2 linked regions of the Rattus norvegicus genome follow. The main gene of each other region encodes a partner of the protein of the gene in region 2 in a complex. Links are inferred from orthologs where the notes say so. Each region holds a gene or a part of one and is shown on either strand. Other genes may lie near its edges.

Region 1 (10,584 bases), about 77 Mb from region 2:
CTATACCTATTATCCTTAGGTTTGATCTTCTCAACGTGTCCTGGATTTCCTGTATGCTTTGGGTCAGTATCTTTTTATGTTTTACATTATCTTTGAAAGTTGTGTTGATGATTTCTATGGAATCTTCTGGTCCTGAGATCATCTTTCCTATCTCTTGTATTCTGTTGATGATGCTTCCATCTACTGCTTCTTGTCTCTTCCTTTGGTTTCCTATATCCATGGTTGTCTCCCTTTGTGCTTGCTTTATTGTTTCTATTTCCATTTTCAGTTCCTTCAGCTGTTTGATTGTGTTTTCCTGTAATTCTTTCAGGGATTTTTTCTTTCTTCTCTAAGGGCTTCTACTTATTTACCTGTGTTTTCCTGCATTTCTGTAAGGGAGTTCTTTATGTCTTTCTTAAAGTCCTCCATCATCATTATCAAATGTGATTTTAAATCTTACTTTTCTGGTGTGTTTGGATATTCAGTATTTTCTTTGGTGGGAGAATTGGGCTCCGATGATGCCATGTAGTCTTGGTTTCTGTTGCTTGGGTTCTTGTGCTTGCCTCTTGCCATCAGGTTGTCTCTGGTGTTACCTTGTTCTGCTATTTCTGACAGTGGCTTTACAGTGCTATTGGCCTGTGTCAGGAGTGCTGTAGATCTGTTTTCCTGTTTTCTTTCAGCCAGTTATGGGAACAGAGTGTCCTGCTTTCAAGTGTGTTGTCGTTCCTGTCTGTCCACTGGTCTTCAGGTGTTCCTGTCGGTGTGTGTCTTGAGTCCACCGGACAGGTCACTTGGAACAGAAAAGTTGGTCTTACAGACCTCTGGTCTCCAGCTTGAAGTCGCTCCTTGGGGCTGGGTTTCAGCTCTCTGTGAGGGGAGCAACCAGAAGGGCCTGCCCCTACTTCTGGGTCCCTGTGCACAGGGAACCCTAATGGTGCTACGTCTTTTCCTCTAGAGTCAGAAATGTGGGCAGAGAGCAGTCTCATCTGGTTTCCCAAGTATGTCTGCCCCTCTGAAGGTCTAGCTCTCCCTCACATGGGATTTGGGTGCAGGGAGCTGTTTGACTGGGTCTGTTCAGATTTCGGTTCAGTCTGGACCGCAGGGCTCTTGCAGCTTGACTGCCCCTAGTCTTCATTTTTAAACTTTCACTTTCTAATAGAGTATTTGAAATGGTGAGTTCGACTTTAGTTTGGCATTTCTAGGACTGTAGGACATGAAAGTTTGGTGAACATTAGGACGTGACGGTTTGATTTACCAATATGATAGTTTCCCATGTAAAAATTAGATTTTATCATATCAAAATTGCATAGAGAGTTGAAGTTTTAGTCATTTAATTTTTTAGATACAAAGTAGGCTAATGTTTACTGAAAGGTAGAAAGTGCTTACCAATCTTTCTAATATTCATTAGGTAAAAGAAAAGAGATAGCTTTGGTATGGCCTTGGCAATAGCTGGAAATAATTCCACTTAAATTTCTGTGCAAAGCTAGTCTTGGAATGGTGCTGCCTCTGTGTAAAGGCCCCTGTTCAGAGCCAGGGGTGGTGTGTTTACCCTTAATCCATCACTCAGTAGGCAGAGGCAAGGAGATAGATCTTTTTGAGGCAAGCTTGGTCTAATTAGTGTGTTCCAGGACAGCCAGAGCTATGTAGTGAGACCCAGTTTCAAAACAACAATAAGAACAAGGACAAGGACAAGAACAAGAACAAGAACAACAACAAGAACAACAACAACAAAAGGGTCCTAGCAGGTGGCCACATTGCAAGCTAATCTCAAACAGCTCTGAACTTGGCTATCTGAAGAACATTCAGTGTCTAAAGGACGAAAAGGAAACATCTCCTTTTGTCTCAGTGGGTAGGAGTGGAGGTTAGCTTATCTTCTGGCCTTAGATTTGAAACAATTCAGTTTTCTTTGAGGATATATGTGAAAATGACTGGCTTCTGGAAACTGCACTATTCTGTTACTTATGGGGAACAACCTTGCCAACTACACCTCATTCAGAAACAGGCCTCAAACAACCATAGTCTTCATTATGGGTTGAAGGACTCATTAGACAGTAACTCATTTTACAAGGATATTATTAAAAAGGAATGAATGCTATTCATTGCTTTTTAAAGAAATAATTTATTTTCAATTTATGTACATTGGTGTTTTGCCTGCACGTATGTCTAATTACAGATAGTTGTGAGCAGCCATGTGGTTGCTGGGATTTGACACCAGGTCCATCTGGAAAAACAGTCTGTTCTTTTAACTGCTAAGTCATTTCTCCAGCCCTATTATTTATTTTTTAAAACAAGTACTTGATATCAATTAGCCAAGCTGAACTAACTTTACTCAGTATTAGTTTTCCATCATGTTTTTTGTTCTTCCAGTTATGGTTTGCCCAGTCTTCTGTCATGAACTCTAATCTATTGATACCTGGTTATGTGAGAAAAAGCAGTTATACTACACTTCATCTTAGCCAAAAGGCTGAAAATCAATGAAAAAGCAGTTATAAATAAATAATTTTTCTCTTTTTAAATATTCTTTGGCTATTTTTTGTGTTTATGTGAGTATATGTGTGCATAAGTGTGTGTATGTGTGGTATGTGTGTGTTTATGCCTGCAGGGTTATATACATGGAGGCTACAAGAAATTATTGGGTGGCTTGTTCTACAATACTCTGTTGCATTCCTTTTAGACAGTCTCAGTTCCAGAAACCCTCCTCATTTATTCAACATGTATTTATCAATAGAAAATTATATGCCATTTTTAGTGAATTGATAGTACAGAAACACACATGTATACATTTACATATCTTGGGGCAGTAGCTTAGGAATTTTCAGTTCAGCTTTCAGGTGAATCCTCAGGTGATTGAGGAGTGACAGCAACCCCTTTAGCAACAGGAAGCTTGTATAGGGCTTCTTTTCTACATGGTTACTTGAGGAAATAAGTTCTTTTTGTGGCTGATGAATAGTGGTTTGTCTTTGTTGTTGAGGTTTGGGTTTCTATTTTCAGCAGAAAAAATGCTGTTAAAGAACCATGTTATAAGAATTGGTAATATTTAGTCCAATGAGCATAGATAGCTTTATTAATTTGACACATACAAAGATTATCAGCTACTGTGGAGACTGAGGCTTCTGCCTTACGTTGTCCTGGGAAATCCCCAGCCTGGGTAACTTTTTGAGTCCTTGTAATAAAATAAAGGCTGGGGGTATTTCTTGTAGATAGACAGCTTGCCTATTTTGCACAGGCCTTAAGAGTCAATACCCACTACTGAAAAATCCCAAACCAAAACCCACCTCTGCATTTGTATTATAAAACACCATGAAGATGGTAAAATAACTGAAGAAAATGAAACATCTGCATTAAGTTTCCTGTTGGGGGAATGAAATACTTCCTTCTACAGATTCTCAGTGACAGCTAGAGATGCAACTCAGAGGAAGAATGCCTGCTTAGCACGCACAACAATCCCAGGAAAGATGATGCCCCGCCAAATGAATCTTCTGCAAGGCCCCTTAACTGAGCTACTATGATTGTGCACTGTTTGGAATGCTGCAAACCCAGAGCCAAATTATCTTGAGCCATTTTAGCCTTCTTAGTAGCCATTTATTGTCCTCCTCTGTACTTAACATGTTTCTATGACCACAGGGTAAATAATTTGGAATGTACAAACAGCACTACCTGTCAACAAACTAAAAAGCCAAGGACAATGTCGAGTATCTTAGGCCTCTAATAGAGGTTCTTCATTATACTTTTTCCCACCTACTTAATGGTCACACCAAATGTATTGGAAAAGTATCTTCATTTATGACTTTCCTTGTTCTGTTAGTATAAAAACTTCATGAAACTGCTTCAGTTGAAATATAGCATTTGGGGTGGTCTAAATCTGTGTTCCCAGGCCGTGGTTATTGACATTTGCCTCCAGCACAGATTGTCTCTTAATACGTTAGGGTTCTCCCCCCCCCCCCCCCCCAAGGAATCACCTTTACCGTGGCTGATACTGGTGCACACAAAACTCCAAGTGGAATGTCCCTTTAGATTCTAAAATTTCTTTACAGTGCCTCTTTCAGTTTCCTGAGAAAATACATGTGGCCCAAGCCACCACCTCAGACCTTACACTAATGTTGGACCAGTCTGCCTTTGTCAGCAACGGAATTGTAAGGTTGTCTTATTTTATGGCTTTCTTCTACCAAGGGAAGAAAATTTCTTTAAACAAGATTAAAACGAGGTGGGAGAGGGAAATTTGTATGTTCTCACTCAGATTTCCAAAACTCAGGGTCTCGCATACACGGAGGTCACTAAGAACAAATATAGTCAGGGCTCAGGAGAAGAAATGAGGCAGGCCCTGTTAGGCATTACATCAGATAGAGAGAGGGTCTGACCTATGAGAATATCCTTGAGGCATCAGGGCAGTGGCTAGAAGTCATGTTCTTGCCCCAAGTCCGTCATGACCTTGAGCCAGGTGCCTCATTCTAGACGCTTCGATGTTTTCCCGCGCAACTCGCTTCCGACCACGTCAGAACTCGGTGGAACCCTGGCGCGCCACACCGCCTTTGAATCGCAGCACAAGGCGGAGCTCCCAACCCTCACGTATCCTTATTGGTTGGTTTTCTCAGACTCTTTCTTTCGATTGGGCACTCGCAGTGCCGATCACCGAACGTCACTGGTTCCTCACATTGTTGCAGGAAGGAGTGGGCGTAGACATGTCTCCCGGGGAGCTTGTGGCCTCCAGATTCTGACTTGCTTTCCGGCCCCTGGGCCGCTACACCTTGAGGAGCTTTTTCAGACGGTCTGAGAAGATCCGGGGTGCCCAGGGCATTCCAAAGCCACTCCGCCCCCCGCCATGTCTTGGAAGTTCAAGAGGTGAAGGGCTGAGGGGGGCTGGGCGTGAGGCCAGTTTCTCTGCGTTTTGCTCAAGTGAAGGTGCGCGCCCGGGCAATAGGTGCAGCTTGTATTCCTGTGGTGCTGTTTTCATTCCTTCTGCGGGTTCTTGCTGGTGTTGTGGTGGAGGTACCAAAGCACTGTCTCGGCTGACCCGAGAATCGGCTGCTAAGACCTCGGGGAATCTGCGTCAAAGACTGCAGGGGGGGATCTGAAACCCGACCGGAATGATTTATTCACCATTGTTATCCCAATGTTTGCTAGCCATTTTATGGCAATCCGATCCTGTGTGTCTCCTGGTACTGTGCAGAAGCTTACTAAAACGTATTTGCAGAGGAGCTGAAAGGGAAACTCGCTACTTGATAGCCCTGTGTGTTTTTAGGAGAATGACAACTTCTAGGAGGCTTCCAGCAAACGCATCTTTTCATCATCTATAGTGGTCTTCATGCCCAATTCTTTTTTTTTTTTTTTTTCCAATTCTTGCAATAATTATCCCTATCCTTTAAAATAATAGGGCGATGTATACGTAAAGGGGCTTCAGGTCAGCTCTCTATGATGTCCCAAGTTTAGATACCCAATTTAATGTGTTCTGTTCAGAAGGAGTTAAAGCAGAAGATGCTGTGCATGTATTTATGTCAAAAGTCAAAAATATTTTCATAGCCGGCAGTGGTGGCACGTGGCTTTAAGAGTACCTTGGAGGGAGAGGCAGATGGATCTCCGACTTTGAGGCCAGTCTGGTCTACTGAGTGAGATCTAGGATAGCCAGGGCTACACAGAGAAACACAGTCTCAAAAAAAAACAAAAGAGAAGAGGGGAAGGGAGAGGAGAAAAGAGAAATAAAAAACGAAAAGAAAAAAAAATCTTGTAATGGTTATTTTGTTTTTATAAATCCATTTCTTCTTCATCACGTAGGCACCGAAAATTTTGACATTGTAATTGTAGCTTCCGACTTTAGATAGTTTTCTTTTCACCAGGAAAGCAGTTCCAGTATCTAACAGGTCAGATTTCGGATAACCTTCTCCACTGGATTCTTGATTTATTCAGGGAAATTGTTAAGTGATTGTTGCCACATAGCATTTCATTTGCTAAAATAAAATATAAGGAAGTGATCAGCCTGAAACTAGGAGGGAAAACTTAATCAAGTTCTGTGGTTTTAGCTTTCTGTTTTGTTTTAAAATAGGGATTCTGTTTGGAAGTATTCACAGTCTGCCCAGTATGGAGCCCATGAAAATATTCCAAGACTTTCATACCCACCTTTCTTTCCACGTTTTGAATTCCAAGACATTATCCCTCCAGATGACTTCCAAACTAGTGATGAAGAGCTAGATTTGGTTTTATTTGGAACTATGAGAGGACAAGTTGTTGGAATACGCTATTACACAGGAGTTGTAAGTATAGGATTAGATAATAAAATTGTATTTTTATGGTTTTAACAGTAAATTATATTAAAAGGTGATATATACAATTAATGTTTTACTTTGAATGAAAGGTTAGTCATGAATACCTTTACCAACTTTGACCAATTTTTTACCATTTCTACCGTGCTTGCAGTATATAAAGTACTTTTGCCCACACATTTGATCCTTCTAATTACTGAGGTATGTGGTAAATTTAAGAAATGACTTTTAAAAAAAAGACTTTAAAGCCACCAGGTTTTGCATTTAGTTTTTATCTTTTATTTCCTGCTCTTTCTAATGCATTCCTGTTCTCTGAACTGAATGTGTGTATATGTGTGTGTGAGAGAAAGAAAAGGGGACAGATTGAGAATATATATAATTTTCTTTGGACAATAATCCTTATTAGTTTCATCTTTGTCATTTAGTAATATAATTTTAATGTTATCTAATTTATTACGAGAAAATTTCAAACAAAATGAGAATAAGATCAGTGGTTAGTAAGTATTTTCTATGTTTGCTTTCTTGTTTTTGGTCTTGTAAAAACAGATACCAGTTGTATCACTTTACATTAGTACAGTTCAGTGTATATCTCTTTAAAATGCAGTTTGGGGGCTGAAGAGATGACTCAGCAGTTAAGAATTCTTGCTGCTTGTACAGACAATTGCAGTTCTGGTCTCAGGACTCATGGCTGGCAACTCACAGCACCTACAGCTCCAGGTGTCCACTGCCCTCTTCTGGCATACATGACTACCCTCCCCAATACACACATGTACATGGTTAGAAATAAAAGACATCTTTAAAGAACCCTCACAGTTTTTACATTTCATTTTTATTAATGGAATTAACCCATATGTGTAATAAGCACTCAATAATTGCATTTTATTGGTAATTTAAAATGGATTTTTTCCAGTTAAGCTCAAGACAGGGTTATTATATTAGTTTTGGCTGCTATGGGCTATAAAGTCCATTCTAATTTCCTTTTATAGATGTGTATATTTAAAAATAAGGTCTCTTTTGTGGAATCTTGTTGATTTCTTACTTTCTCCTTCCCTCATTTTTTTCATATTTATTTTAAATTTATAAATTTATTTTATTTATGTGAGTACACTGTCAGACACACCAGAAGAGGGCATTGAATCCATTACAGATGGCTGTGGGCCACCATGTGCTTGCTTGGAATTGAACTCAGGACCTATGGAAGAGCAGTCAGTGCTCTTAACTGCTGAGCCATCTCTCTAGCCCTTTTCATATTTTTATATTAACACTCATTAAGAGTTTTTTTTTTAATCCCCTGTTGGAAGGGGTTTGAATTAAGACTCCAGCCTTGGCTGGTCTGGAACTCACTAAGTAATCCAAGGTTGACCCTGAACTCATAGTGAACTCGTAGTGGTCTGTTGTAAAAATATAAAAAATAAAATGCTGTCTTTTTACCTGCTCTAGGTCCGAAACTGCGGTGCCCCAAAATATCTGCTAAATATCTTGTCAGAAGCACGTATCCCAATTCTGCAGCCGCCCAGTATCGCACACTTTCTTACACTTAAATCGCTACATGAAAGAACACACAACCCAATAACCTCTGATCCAATTGATTAGATATAATTACCCACCTAAACATATAAAGCCTGTACACATCCATCCCTTAAGAACATTCATAACAACCTGTAAGGGTACAGCGTGGAATCCTAACGTCAGCCTCCATGTTGTCTCTCGGCTTCTTTCCCTCCTCCTCCCCTCTTCCATTCCTGTCTCTTCTTCAAACTTTTCCCCGCCCATCCTTCCTTCTTGTCCAATGACAGGCCTCATTCTATCTTGCACCTGCCTCACCTGTGATATCACCCCACAGTGGTCCACTTGTCTCAGCCTTCTGAGTACTTGATGGTTTCAGAACCTTTTTTTAAATTGAAGTATGATATCAGGAGGTTCCTTGGAGGAATTCTGTGGTTCCTATCTGTCATGTTTTTGTTCTCTGTATTTTTATGTTGGAATAACTCAGGTTGTTTAATAGCTGTATGAGATGTAGTGTATAGGAGATTACTTAGGGAAGAACAACTATTTTTTTAAGTTTTGGTGAAGTCATAATTTTCGTTTGTTTCTCTACAGTTTGGCCAACTATAAAGTGCTTGGTTCACACTTTTTCTGTATATCCTAATGTTGCACAATATAATGCTCATAAAAATTTTGATGACCATAGGATTTTCTGTCTTAAGTGAATTGACTTTTTTTTTTTGGCCTGATGATTAAAGGATATTGTGGGTTTTTTTTTTTTTTTTTTTTTTTTTGGAGCTGGGGACCGAACTCAGGGCCTTGCGCTTGCTAAGCAGGCGCTCTACCGCTGAGCTAAATCCCCAACCCCCTCTTTTTTTTTTTTTTTAAAGAAGTCTAATAGTTTCATTAAGGTATTCTATAATTTTTTTATTTCAAAAAAATTCTAAAACAAAATTCTAAAATTATACTTGTGAATGTTTGCTTTATTCCGAAGCCATTTGTTTTAGAAACTCTGTATTCTCATGTACTTCTCCATCTGTTTCCTGTTTGCCTCTAATAGTCCATGTCTACTATAGCCTCCGAATCCTTGTGCTGTGATTTTCCATTTTTGTTTTTCCTCACTTCATTTCATTTTCTTACCGTGCTTTTCAGATGCTCTGTTTACACTTATGTTGATTGTAGTACTTAGTGTTTGCTCGTTAAATTTTCTCTTCTAGTCATTTTAACAATCTATCCATTCTTAGTTGGTCTTTATCTTTTCTCTGGTTCTCACTTCCTTTTGTGAGTCATACTTCATATTTGTACTATTTCAAAATTGACATTGTTTTCTAAATAACACTTCTATGAATTGTTAGGTTATAGTTATTAATCTCAGAACAATCAATTATATTGATCTTAGAATAATTTCTATGATACTAGTTAACTAATAAGAATATATAAAGATTAAATGTTTAGTTCATTTTCCCACTGTACAGTATTTGCAGGTAATATCTTCATTATTTTAAAGTTAGATTACTTGGATTGAATTTTCATCAAGCTTTTATACTATAGCTTACTTTATATATTCTATCATTTTTTTCAATAAATATACACATATAATTGAAATCATATTAATAAAAATAAACCAGAACGGGAAATGGGTAGTTACTACCATAGCATTCATTCCACTGTTATACACTTGGACAGTTCTTGTCACTCCAGTCACTGCAGTTCACGTGGTTTACAGCTGGGTAAGGCTGTAGAAGACTCGCCTCCTCCCTGTCCCGGAGGCTTCCATAGCGCTTTCGTATTATGAAAGCTACTCAGCAGGGACTAAGTCAGTACCACCTTCATTTCTCCAGGTCCTATGGACAATGTATATGGTGCTTTTATGCTTTTCTTACTATCAAGTTCTTTTGGGCAGCCAGGAGCCAAGACAATATCCTATATTGTTTTGGGAATCTTTTGGACTACTTGTAGAATACCAAACCTGGCACTGAACTTTTGTTTGGAAACCTATGGATTTTGGGATGACTATAGTCCTCATATAGGGTAACTCTAACCTCTTTTATGTGGGAAAATACTACACACACACACACACACATACACAAACACACACACACACACACAATTTCTGTATTGCCTTTTACATACAACCTTCATGGTAATTCTCCCCTAAAATTCCTCTCATCCCTTTCCCACTTAAACATCCACATTATTTCTCTTTTCTCCTACCCTCAAGCCCCTCCCCTCATTGTTCATTTCTGGTTTCCTGGATTGTAAGGTGTTCCAAAATAAGCAAACAAGTCTGAAGATTTGATACTAAGATCCACATGATTGAGAACATGTGATGTTTTATCTATGGGTCTGGGTTACTTAAGTGTAATGTGTACGTGCGTCATCTATTGACCTGCACATTTTATTTTTCTTTATATAAAATTCCACTGTATATAGGCACCACATTTTCACTCCTTGTTAGTTGATGGACGTATAGGCTGTTTGCATGTCTTAGCCATAATGAATAGAGTAAATACCATCGTGGTTAAGCATGTGGCTCTGACCCAACTCTACCTCGGCACATGTATCCAAAGATTAGCTATCTTGAAAATTGTAGGGAATATGAATCCTCATAGTAGATTTGACTGTACCTTTTAGGTCCTAATGGTTTATTAGCCTTCCTTATGAATATAAATTAGAAAAGAAGAGTAGAAGAATCATTGTAAGACATATTCCTTAATATTTCTAGTTTGAGTTGGGACTGTGGCTCAGTTGATAGATGCTTTGTAGTCATTACCAAGCCTTGGGTTCAGTCCTTCACACAAGAAAGAACTGAGGATGGTGGTGCATACCTGTAATCTCAGCACTTGGGCAACATTGGAAGAAGGAT
Region 2 (10,416 bases):
ACAACAGGAACCTGGGGTGTGCTTTGGTCTGAATCCTGCTGCCTGCTCAGATCCCTAAATTCTGTAACCTACCCCAATACACACACACACACACACACACACACACACACACACACACACAACCCTAGGGCCTCACTCATGCTATGCATGTCTTCTATCACTGAAATATATGTACACCCTGACCCTCTTTTCACTTTTTCTTTTGAGACAAGTCTCACTAATTTACCTACACTGCCCTTCACTTGAGAGCTCCCTGCCTCTGTCAGTCGAGTAGATGGTATTTGGAGTCTGAGTCATTAGGCCTGGATTCTAAATACTATCTTTTACAGGGTCAAAGGTGCGGTGCTCAACACTAGCATTGAAGAGTTATATTTAAGGATTGTAACTCTACCTTTCTCAGAAAAATTGGAATCAGCTGAAGAATCCCACACCTGAGAACACCGCCAACGAGGATCTGGCATGATCCATCTGCATGACGTGGACAGCAGCAAGTTTATACTTCAAGGTGTACACTAGCATGAAACCCAGAGGAGCCCCTCCCCTTTTCCTCTATTATACCGCTCCCATCTTCCCTACCACCCCAATCCCGGTTATAAGGTTTCTAGTGGGTCAAGGGAGTCCACCTTGCCTGGATTGATTTAGAAGCACAGAGTTTAAGAGAACTGGATTTCAGTCACCTAAAGAAGGACATGGGATGGCCACCTCAGTCCTTCAATCATTCAGGAAAGGAGCCAGATGTTAACGAAGTTTTTAAAGTCTGTGCCCACATTCAGTGATACAGAGCTTCCTGACCTCCTCTCACAGCAAAGATTCCAGATTCCAGACAACCCAGCTGTTAGAACTAGGTGGATATCCATTGTACTTTCCTCCCAGGCATCAGGAGGTATTGCAGAGCTAAAGAGGGATTCCCCCAAATAGAAAAACAGACCAATTTAGGGCTCCCAGGAAATGCAAGCTGAAAGCAGAGAAAATCCTGGCCTCACTTGAATATCTTCTTCAGGAGGGTGAGGTCAGGCTACCTTGCCTAGAGTTAAGGTCTGAGGTGAGTCCACTCCTTCCTGCCTTACCCAGGGGGCCATGAAGTGAGTGTTCCTCCCTGAAGCTTCATCTCTGCTCTAGGTCCTCCCACCCCAACTTCCCTGTTTTATTCCACAGAGTGGCAAACAGAGCAGCCTGTTCAAGATACCTGCAATAATAATATAGAGATAGGGGCTGGCCAGAATGTTAAAACAGAGTTGAAATTCACAGCATATGCCTTTGATCCCAGAGGGACCAGGGCTACAGGCAAGAAATTTTTCTGGAGAAAGGATTACAGTAAGGCAAAGCAGCCAGGTGTCGTAGGAACAGTCCCAAGAACTATGAACTTAGCACTCCGGGGTGAGGAGGGGCTCATAGGAGAAATGGAGTTATCAGCCAGCATGGGTTATATAGACCCTGTCTCAAAATTCAAAACAACAAACAAGCAAACACACGTAACAGAAATGTGAAACTGCTGCTCTCTCAGATGAATGAATGCATCATATTGTCCTTCTCTACTTGGATCCTCCGTTGCTTGGATGGGGCTTGCATTTACAGGGCTCACTATAGCTCTAAAATCCGTTACTAGAATGAAAGCTTTTTAGGAACTTTAAGAATCTGGCATCTCCAGTCCACCTAACGCCCCACGAACTCCACTCCAGATGGGGTGGGCCTTCCCCTTCTAATTGGGTAACACTTTGTCAGGAGGGCCTTGGGCATTGGTCTGAGATTTTGGGGAACCTCTTCAGTGTCCCTGACACCCCACTTCATACCTGGTAAATTCAGATACACCTGTTCTCCCCTGCCTCCCTTGGCTCTAGAGCCATCTTGAACCACACATTGATCTGCTTTAATGGAGAGGCCACTGGATGACACTTGCTATATGAATCACTCAAAGCTGAGGCGATGCAGATGCAATTGCCTTTAGGCAGATGACAACAGTGTAGCTCAGAGCACAGCAGCTGAAGGATGTGAGTTTTGGGGAGGGTGGGAGCAAGGCCTCATCAGGGTTCACCTATGAATGGAACAGCAGAGTACAGCATACACATTCCACACACAAGGGGATAAACTATGTGTCCTGCTAGGCAGGTCTGGTCAGATGCACAGGCTTCTAGTTCCTGCTGTTCCTCTTGGTTTCATTCATCACACTTGTCATTCCTTGGCTAGCACTTCAGGAAAGACCCAGGCCTTACCTACTCACCTTTTACTGAACCATTTTATTCTGATAACAGCATATGCCCTTCACATTAGCCTGAGTAACCTGTCTTAACTCTCTCTTCCTCTGAAGAAAACAATTCCTGTTTTTGTTTCCTTTTCAGCACTTTGCACACACATCGCCTATGGTGTGAAGTACCAACAATGTTCTCATTTTCTCTGTTGGTCTTTGTGGGAGGGGCATAAGATGGGGACCTATACCCAGGTCTAGGCTATAAATCTCAGAAGCTGGAGGCCTGATTTACTTTGTTCATCTGCATTTTGTCCATATCTTACTTTTCTTGAAGCCACCCAGAATTAATTATGGTGTCGGTGAACATAACCATCCATTATTTTAAAACATTTATAGGGTTTCTGTTCTTTTGTTTAGGAAAATTTGAAGAACAATTCTTTTTTTTTCTTTTTTTTTTTAATTGAATCCAGAGAACATTCTTGAATCAGACCCTTAAAGTATATTTGGTGTAGGAATGAGATTAAAACAATGGATTTTGGCTTAGCCTTTCTCCCCAAGTAAAACTTGCTTACTACAGACATGATCTGCAAAAGAAAGTTCCAGATGCAATTCAATAGCAAGAAAGAATTCTAAACAAAGAACACCCACCCATATTTCCATGAGACGCTGTCATGATCCAGCAACCCAACCAACACTGGCTACAGCAGCAAGTGGGAATTATTTAGTTGAAGGGGTGAAAGTTGGTTTTAAAAGTCAATCAGTCCCTCCCTGTCTCCCCCCAGGGGTGGCCCATGGTCCTGAAGAACCAGAGCCTCACACATGCCAAGCATGTTACTCCCTTTGCTTCTGAGATGTGATTCCTAAGTTGTGAATCCTGAGAGCCCATATTTTAGTCCAGCTTTTCCCAGTACTGTGAACATTAGTTTATTTCATAATTCTGAAAGAATCCCATTGTTCCCTTAGCTAGGCTTAAATGGATGGAGTGTGTCCAAGGCATATCAAATACTTATGTATTTGCTGGGAGGGGAGGCGGGGAGACACGACTTTTTTTTTTTTTTAACTGTCAGTGGAAAGCAGAGAAGCATCCAGACTCAGCCCCACCCAGCCCAAGGCCTGACCACATTGGGGTGACTGCTCAGAGGCTGGCCAGAGGCCAGGTATAGAAGGACAACAGTCTGTCTGATGTTGTATTCAGGAAAAGCCAGGGAACAACATCACTCAGAAATCAGGGTGGACACAAATAACTGCTCTATGCCAAGCAGACCAAAAGAAGAAGAAGAAAAAGGAGGAGAAGGAGGAGGAAGAGGAGGAGGAGGGAGGGAGGGAAGGAAGGAAGAAAGAGAAAAGAAAGAAAGACAGACAGACAGACTCAGACTGTCAGCGCCGATTAAATAGACATTGCATAGGAATCTGGGTGGGGGAGACTAAGGAAAATGAAATTTCAGTGAATTACATGAACTCTTTCTTGCCCCAACTCCTGACATTATCGTTTCCAATTTGTTGAAACACACCGAAGGCTCTCTGACAGGGTGTCTCCACCTAACTTGAAGTACAACATGCAAAAAATCCACTCCTGGAAGCTGAAAGGCAAGCTTCAGGAGGAAAGAGAGAGACTTGGCGAGGTTCTGCCAGTCTAATTACTGCCCTCACAGGCAGCTCAGTCAAGAAACCCCTCCTGCAGGTTGGTGGCCAGTTAGTTGTGACTCATTTCCTCTTGGAAAATGCCCTGGAAGATGGCACAGTTCCTCTTTTCCTTCAGGGAGCGATCTGTTCAAACGTTCACAGAGAATCAGCAACCAGCTAGGCCACACCCAAGGTCTCACAGCTGAGTCACAGGCCTCAGATCACTAGGAGAATCCAGGAACCCTTTGTGCTAGCCCCACCCTGCAGAATGTGTCTAGCTTTCTTGGGGTGGGGGTGGGGGTGGTAAGAGAATGAAGGGAGGTGGGTTCTATGGATTTCAGAATGTGGCTCCGGGCTCTTTACTGGTCTGTTACTTTTCTGTTTTCCTTGCCACCCACTCAGTAATTTCTCCAGAGTCCTCCCAGGCAGGGCTGGGGAAGAGCTCAGTCATTCCTGTAACCAAGCTCAGGCCATGAAGCAGGTACATCCCTCTCACTGCACCGCATCAAATCAAGCCGGGACTGAAGATTCTACACCAAACCTGCTCTCGCTCCACCTCTCTTTTATTTAATTCAAGTAGCAAGAGAAACACTTGATAGAGAGAAACTCACCCCAACACCTCTTCATAAAGACAACGAATAGAAAGTCCTTCTTTAAAGATCCTTCTGAACCAACCTGCAATTTGCACTGGGGCTAAGGCAACCAGCAGGGCAGGGTCCTTTAGAAAGGGAATCCTCCAGCTGCCAAGCCGCCAGTCCTCCCTGGCCAAGGCAGCTCAGACAATCTGGTTGGGGAGGAGGCTATGAACATCTGGACTGAGGTCTGCCTGTAGTCTAAAGCTGCAAGGAACTGCCAGCTGGGACAGGGCGCAAGCAGGTTCTGCTAAACTCCAGTTAACTCTTAAGACTAGTTCCAAAGTAGAAGAGATAAAAAGGAAGAACTACACGCTGAAAGTGAGATCAGAGGAACGGCGGCCCGGACGCCAGGGTGGGGTAGCTGCAGACAAGAGTTGGCTTCCTCCAGCCTAGCGGGTCTGGGGGCGTCCGAAGCAGTTTGCGAGCTGGAAGGGGGCCTCACTCAGGCCCGCGGGGCGAGGCACTAGCGAAACCCCGCTGGAGGCTGAAGCAAGCGACTGTGGGGTGAGGGCAGATATTAAGTGCGGGACTCACCTGGGCCCTGAGGCGCTGCAGTCTTTGGAAGAGCTGGGCACACAGCGATGGGGCTGGCGCCGAAGATCGCGCGTCTTTGTACGCGGGGCGGGTACCGAGGGCGGAGGCGCTCCGGAGTGGGAGGAGCCTGGAGGGCAGGCAGCGGCCCTCCCCACCCATCCCTTCCTGCCCCCCACCCCACCCCACCCCGCCCCAGCTCTCTCTCTCTCTCTCTCTCTCTCTCTCTCTCTCTCTCTCTCTCTCTCTCTCTCTCTCTCCCTTCCTCCCTCCCTCCCTCCCTCCCTCCCTCCCTCCTGTCCTCCCTTCCTTCCTTCCTTCCTCTCTCCCTCCCCCTCCAATCTTTCAATCTCTCTGTCTCTTCCTCTCCCTTCTCTCTCCAAAACACACACACACACACACACACACACACACACACACACACACACACACACACACACCCTTCCCACTCACTCTGCTGACATAGTAACTTTGCCGGTCTCCAGGGACAGCCCTATTGTAAACGTCCCTACGGAGGAATGCTCTAGTCTCGGATATTTCAGGGCATTCTCATACAGCGCCTCGCCCTTCCTCTCGGGTTTGGTTTTAGAAAGTGGGTGAGTGTAGAAATAAGAATCCAGCGGTCCTGCGGGGTACACTGGCCCAGAACCAGAGCCAAGCGCCTCTGCGGGAACCTACAGGGTTAGGAATTATTTCTTGGATGAGCAGAAGGAACGCGCTGAACAGGTCTCAGCTTGGCCACCTAGTTTGCTCTAGGATCTGATCCTGGGGTCTCCTGTGTTGAGTCCAGAAGCTAAGGCCCCTGAGCTCCTGCCTAGCCTTACCACCACTGGGTGGTGAGGAGCAGGGCGGGTGCATTTGTCAGCTTCAGGGGCATCTTTGTAACAGGGTTCACCTTTCCTGGTACAGCTTGTGGTTTTGCTTGGTCTATAGTTGAGTTTCAGTTGTGGCAAATATTGCTAAAATCTGTTTCAGAGCCTCCTTCTTGACTCTACTTGGCCCTAAAAAGCTCTTTAGAAGAAATTTCTAGAAGATATTTAGTGACAACTTTAGTGTCCCCTGACAATCACACCCTTCCTCGATACTTTATTTGTGGTTTGGGGTTAAATGCATACTACTATCAGCTATTGGTGACACAGCCCAGTCCCTAGTACTGGGGTTTCCCCTGTTCCGGGGAAGTCCGGGAAAGGATGAGAGATTCCAAAGGGATAAACAAAACTAGGGAATTCTCCACACACTACCACGTGACAGTCTTGGCAGCGGTCAGGAAAACCCAACTTGGATCAGCTCTCTTTTCTCCAGGGTCTCTGAAACCTCAGTTCTGGCCCTTCAAAAGCAATTCTTCCAAATTTTCCTCAGGCCTCCCCGGATCATCGCAGCTGTGGAGAAAATCTCAGGGGAAATGCAATTGAATTTAGAATATCCCTACTCACTGGCTTTCTTCACTGGGGCATGAGCCTTAGAATGTTTAGTATGTGCTAGAGCCGGGGGATTCAGAGATGGGGAATCAGTGTCTTCTTTCAAAAACCTCCAAGATTTCTGAAGATATAGTAAACAATTCCCTGTGATTGCTGAGCAGTACAAGAATGTTGGACGGAGGGCTTCTAAGGCCCGGTAGTGGGGCAACAATCTGATTCACGGAGGAAGCAACATTCGATAAGAACTCAACAAATAATCACTGTAATTCTTTAATCTACAAAACTATTGTAACCTTTTAGAAAGGTATATAGGTGCTCATTGTATCTGAGTGCCTTTTTAAAAATTATTGCGTGTCTGGGCGCGTGCATGTGCCTCCATGTGTATGTGTGCCAGAGCACATGCGTGGCACTGTAAGAATGGTTTTTAGGAGTCAGTCCATTCCTGTGGGATTTGGAGATTGAACTCAGGTCCTCAGGGTTGCATAGCAGTACCTTTACTCTCGGAACCCCTGTTGACCCAAACTTCATATTCCCTTTGTGGAGGGGTTTGGAAAGCATAGCAACTAAAACAATAAATAATTGTTTATAAATGCATGGACCAAAGAATAAACATTTTCATATATTTCTTTCTAGTCCTATGATTAAATAGATTTTTTTAAATTGGTGGGGTTTTTTTTGTTGTTGTTGTTCCACAGTATTCATCCTCTTCTCGTCCCTCACTGTTTTTGAGGTGCCAGGATTAAATGGGATTGAATCCAGAGCTTCTCATGCTAGGTAAGCCCTCTACTATAGAGCAACATCTCAGCCCACTTTTGCTTTTTTCTGTGTCGCTCTTTATCAAGAACATCATGTTCACTTTTCATCCCTTTAGTGACTATTTTCTTCAATCTGCTAGCAGAACTGTAGGAATCTGGAGCCCTAGTGGGCTCAGTCTTAAAAAGACGCTAAGGGCACATAAAGGATAGACACTACAGCAAGTGCTTTCCCACTGACTCCCCATGAAGCTTCCAGTGTTGAGGCTGGGTGTGATGAGGTATGCTTGTAATTCTAGCACTTGGGAGACAAAAGGGTTGTGCATTTGAGGTCAGCCTGGGCTATAAAGTGAGGCTGTCAAAAAACAAATCAAAACCAAAACCTTCCTCTCCAGAAAAAATGACTGCAGCCAACCAAGTTCTTCCTGCAGGAAATGGCTATGCCTTGTTAACCACATGGACAAAGTGAAATCAACCCTACTTCCCTACTAACAGTTGACTGGAGCAGAGACCAGCTCTGTAGGCTGTACAACTTTCTGCATGGGTCAGAGCAGGGTAATACACACAAAGAAAACAGTAACTTCCAGGACCTATGAACACTTCACCCCATCAGTATCTAGGGCAGATTGGTCCTAATACAGAGAGAGCAGGCACTGGAGGAACAGGGGCTGGATGAAGTGTGGTCCCAGGAATAAAGAGGAAGAAACTTACAAGTTGTCCACCAGGCAGGCACCTTCCAGTGTGCAGAATGCTACGAGCAGGAGAGTTGCTTTACTGGCAGTGCCACACTTGAGATTCTTCCTCCTTCTCCAAGAGGCATAGCAGTGCTTCTCATTTCTCCTCCATAGGGTAGAACCGTTTCTGGAAAGTGGCCACTCAATCGGGGATTATGTTTCTAGCACCTCTTTCACAGTCCCAGTACCGATTGGGACTATGTGACTAGTCACTCATCCATGGAATGGGCTTGCCGGTGAAGAGGATCGTTTCCAGACTCAGGCAACAAAAGGTGATTTCCCCATGTTTCTTTTTACTGTTTGCCAGGACTCAAAGGCTCCTCCAGTGGAAGAGCCACAGCTGGGAAGAGCTTTGGTCCCCAAATCAATATAAGGAAGAAAATTACTTGTTGACCATCACTGGGCAAGTTGGTATGGGGGTGGGGTAGGGATTTGTAGAAAAGACCCAAAAATTAGGGGGTTTATTTGCTATGACATAACCTGAGTGAATAAAGTGATATTCCTTTGAGTGCTTGTATTTGGAGAAGCAGCACAAGGTCATTGACCAATCTGTCCTAGGTACTGATGGGGGGAAGTGTTTATAGTTCCCGGAAGTTACACTGTGTCTTTGTCTGTAGAAGTGTAAACTAGAGCTGAAGAAACTTTATTGGTCACTTTCAATGCTCTTGGAGGAGTCATAGCAGTCCTGCAAGGCTCTTCAGTTACACTGATCTGGTCAAGAAAAAAGAAAGGAAGGGAAACTGATTTAAATAAATATGACTATACTAATGTAGTCAAAATAGTGAGAGCTGAATATTTAAGTTGTTTCTAACTGTTATAGTGTCATAAGCAATAAATCACATAATGCATAAAAGGACCAATTTTGAACAAACATCTTTTCTCACGTGCTTGCTTTATACAGATTCCTACAAGGAAGTGCATCTTTTTTTGTGAATTTGCTTATGTGGACCTTAAAGAACCAGTAGCAAACAGGCCCTTTGGGGTGGTGGTGTAGCTAGGAGAAAAAGTCAGATGTTGGTGTGGACTCAGGAATGTCCCCAGTGGTATGGAGAAAGAGCAAAGTCCCTAAGCTCCAAGTCCTGACACCCAACACCTGTGTCTTTGTTGAAACCTGTTTAGGAAGTGGGAACTTGTGTCTAAGGTAATAAGAAGCCACTGAAGAATGTAAACAGGAAGTGAGCAGCTCTCCGTAACCCTAAGGCTCTATCTAGGCACAGCCCCACAGCCAGTCAGCCATTTCATTGTGGGTAAATGGGGGTGGATTTATTCATCTTCTCAGGTGCAGGAAGGAACTGAGCCGCCAAATGAACCAATGACATTGTTCTACTTGGTTTCAGCAGGTCCCACGCCTTCTGTGTGATCTTCTACTTTGCATGAGAAGTAGCTTTAGAAAAACCAGGTTGGACTGTCACTACTGAAGGTGAGTGAAAGATTCACTCAGCCAAAGCTGCATAACTAACTTATCTCTGTCTTAAAGTGGCAGCATTGGAAAGACTTGTGTTTTATTGTTGTTTTTCCTACAGAATTCCTCCCCTTTAAGCAATATTTACATTTAATGTGTATGTATGCCATTGTGAGTGTATGTCATATGTGTATAGGTCTCTGCACAGGCCAGAAAAGGATGTTGGATGCCCTGGAACTGGAGTCGCAGGGACTGTGAGCTACTTAATGTGGGTGCTGGGGAAAAACTGCTGTTCTCTGAAAGAGCAACAATTTCTATTGACTCCCGAGCCCTATTCCCAGTTCCCCAGAAATCCTCTTAGATCAGGGCTGAAAATCACCACTTCCATGTGTAGGAAAGATGAGAATTCAAATGATTATACTCTATCAAATATTTACTGGGCGATTTATCAATTCCCACAGTGACTTGGCTACTGGAAATATACCAATGACCAAAACAGAAAATCTCTGACCCATAGCTGTGTTCGATACTTTTATGTCAACTTGACAGAAACCAGTGTCTTTCTGAGAGGAGGGAATCTCAACTAAGACAATGTCTCCATAAAATCAGGCTGGACGCAAGCCTATAGGGAATTTTCTTAATTGGTGATTGTTGGGGGATGGCTAATGTGGATAGTGCCCTCCCTGGGCTGATGGTCCTTGATGCTATAAGAGAGCAGGCTGAGCAAGCCACGTGGAGCAAGCCAGTAAGCAGCACTCCTTCATGGCCTCTGCATCAGCTCCTGCCACCAGGTTCCTGCTCTAATGTCCTTCAGTGATGAATGATGCTGGAGATGTATAAGCCAAATAAACTCCTTCCTCCCCAAACTGCTTTTGTTCACAGTGTTTTATCATAGTGATACTGACCCCAACTAAGACATGAGCCTTTTCTAGTGAAGAGGAAAAACGAAATGAAAATTAAGATTAAAACTTAAATTTGTGAGTTGCAATGAGTGCCCTAATGGGAAAAAGTAAGATTCTATAAGAAGAATAGACAGGACCTGTTTTAAATAGAAGGTCAGAGAAGGCTGCCCTGAGTTTGGGGACATTGAAATCCAGATTTAAAGGAGGAAGAGGCACTAGGGTTGTGGTCAGGGG

What was found. Proteins that work in one complex are often made in the same cells at the same time.
Region 1: the proteins of S100a10 (region 2) and Hltf are in contact, whole or in part, in a crystal structure (PDB 4HRE), measured with the Homo sapiens proteins. The link is inferred for Rattus norvegicus from reciprocal best matches to the Homo sapiens genes S100A10 and HLTF. Residues at the interface, in NP_002957.1 of Homo sapiens: Phe42, Asp58, Leu59, Asp60, Gln61, Gln70, Ser74, Leu75, Ala77, Gly78, Leu79, Ile81, Ala82, Tyr86; in NP_001305864.1 of Homo sapiens: Thr32, Phe33, Phe34, Pro35, Phe37, Phe39.

The regions. Positions count from the first base shown.
Region 1 is NC_086020.1:104,474,142-104,484,725, forward strand, and holds the start of Hltf (helicase-like transcription factor), read left to right. Parts: upstream 1-4,623; 5' UTR 4,624-4,798; coding exon 4,799-4,818; exon of another isoform or gene 4,819-4,878; intron 4,879-6,016; coding exon 6,017-6,224; intron 6,225-10,584. UniProt on the Homo sapiens protein: Has both helicase and E3 ubiquitin ligase activities. Possesses intrinsic ATP-dependent nucleosome-remodeling activity; This activity may be required for transcriptional activation or repression of specific target promoters.
Region 2 is NC_086020.1:181,899,040-181,909,455, reverse strand, and holds the start of S100a10 (protein S100-A10), read right to left. Parts: upstream 5,003-10,416; 5' UTR 4,978-5,002; intron 1-4,977. UniProt on the Homo sapiens protein: Because S100A10 induces the dimerization of ANXA2/p36, it may function as a regulator of protein phosphorylation in that the ANXA2 monomer is the preferred target (in vitro) of tyrosine-specific kinase.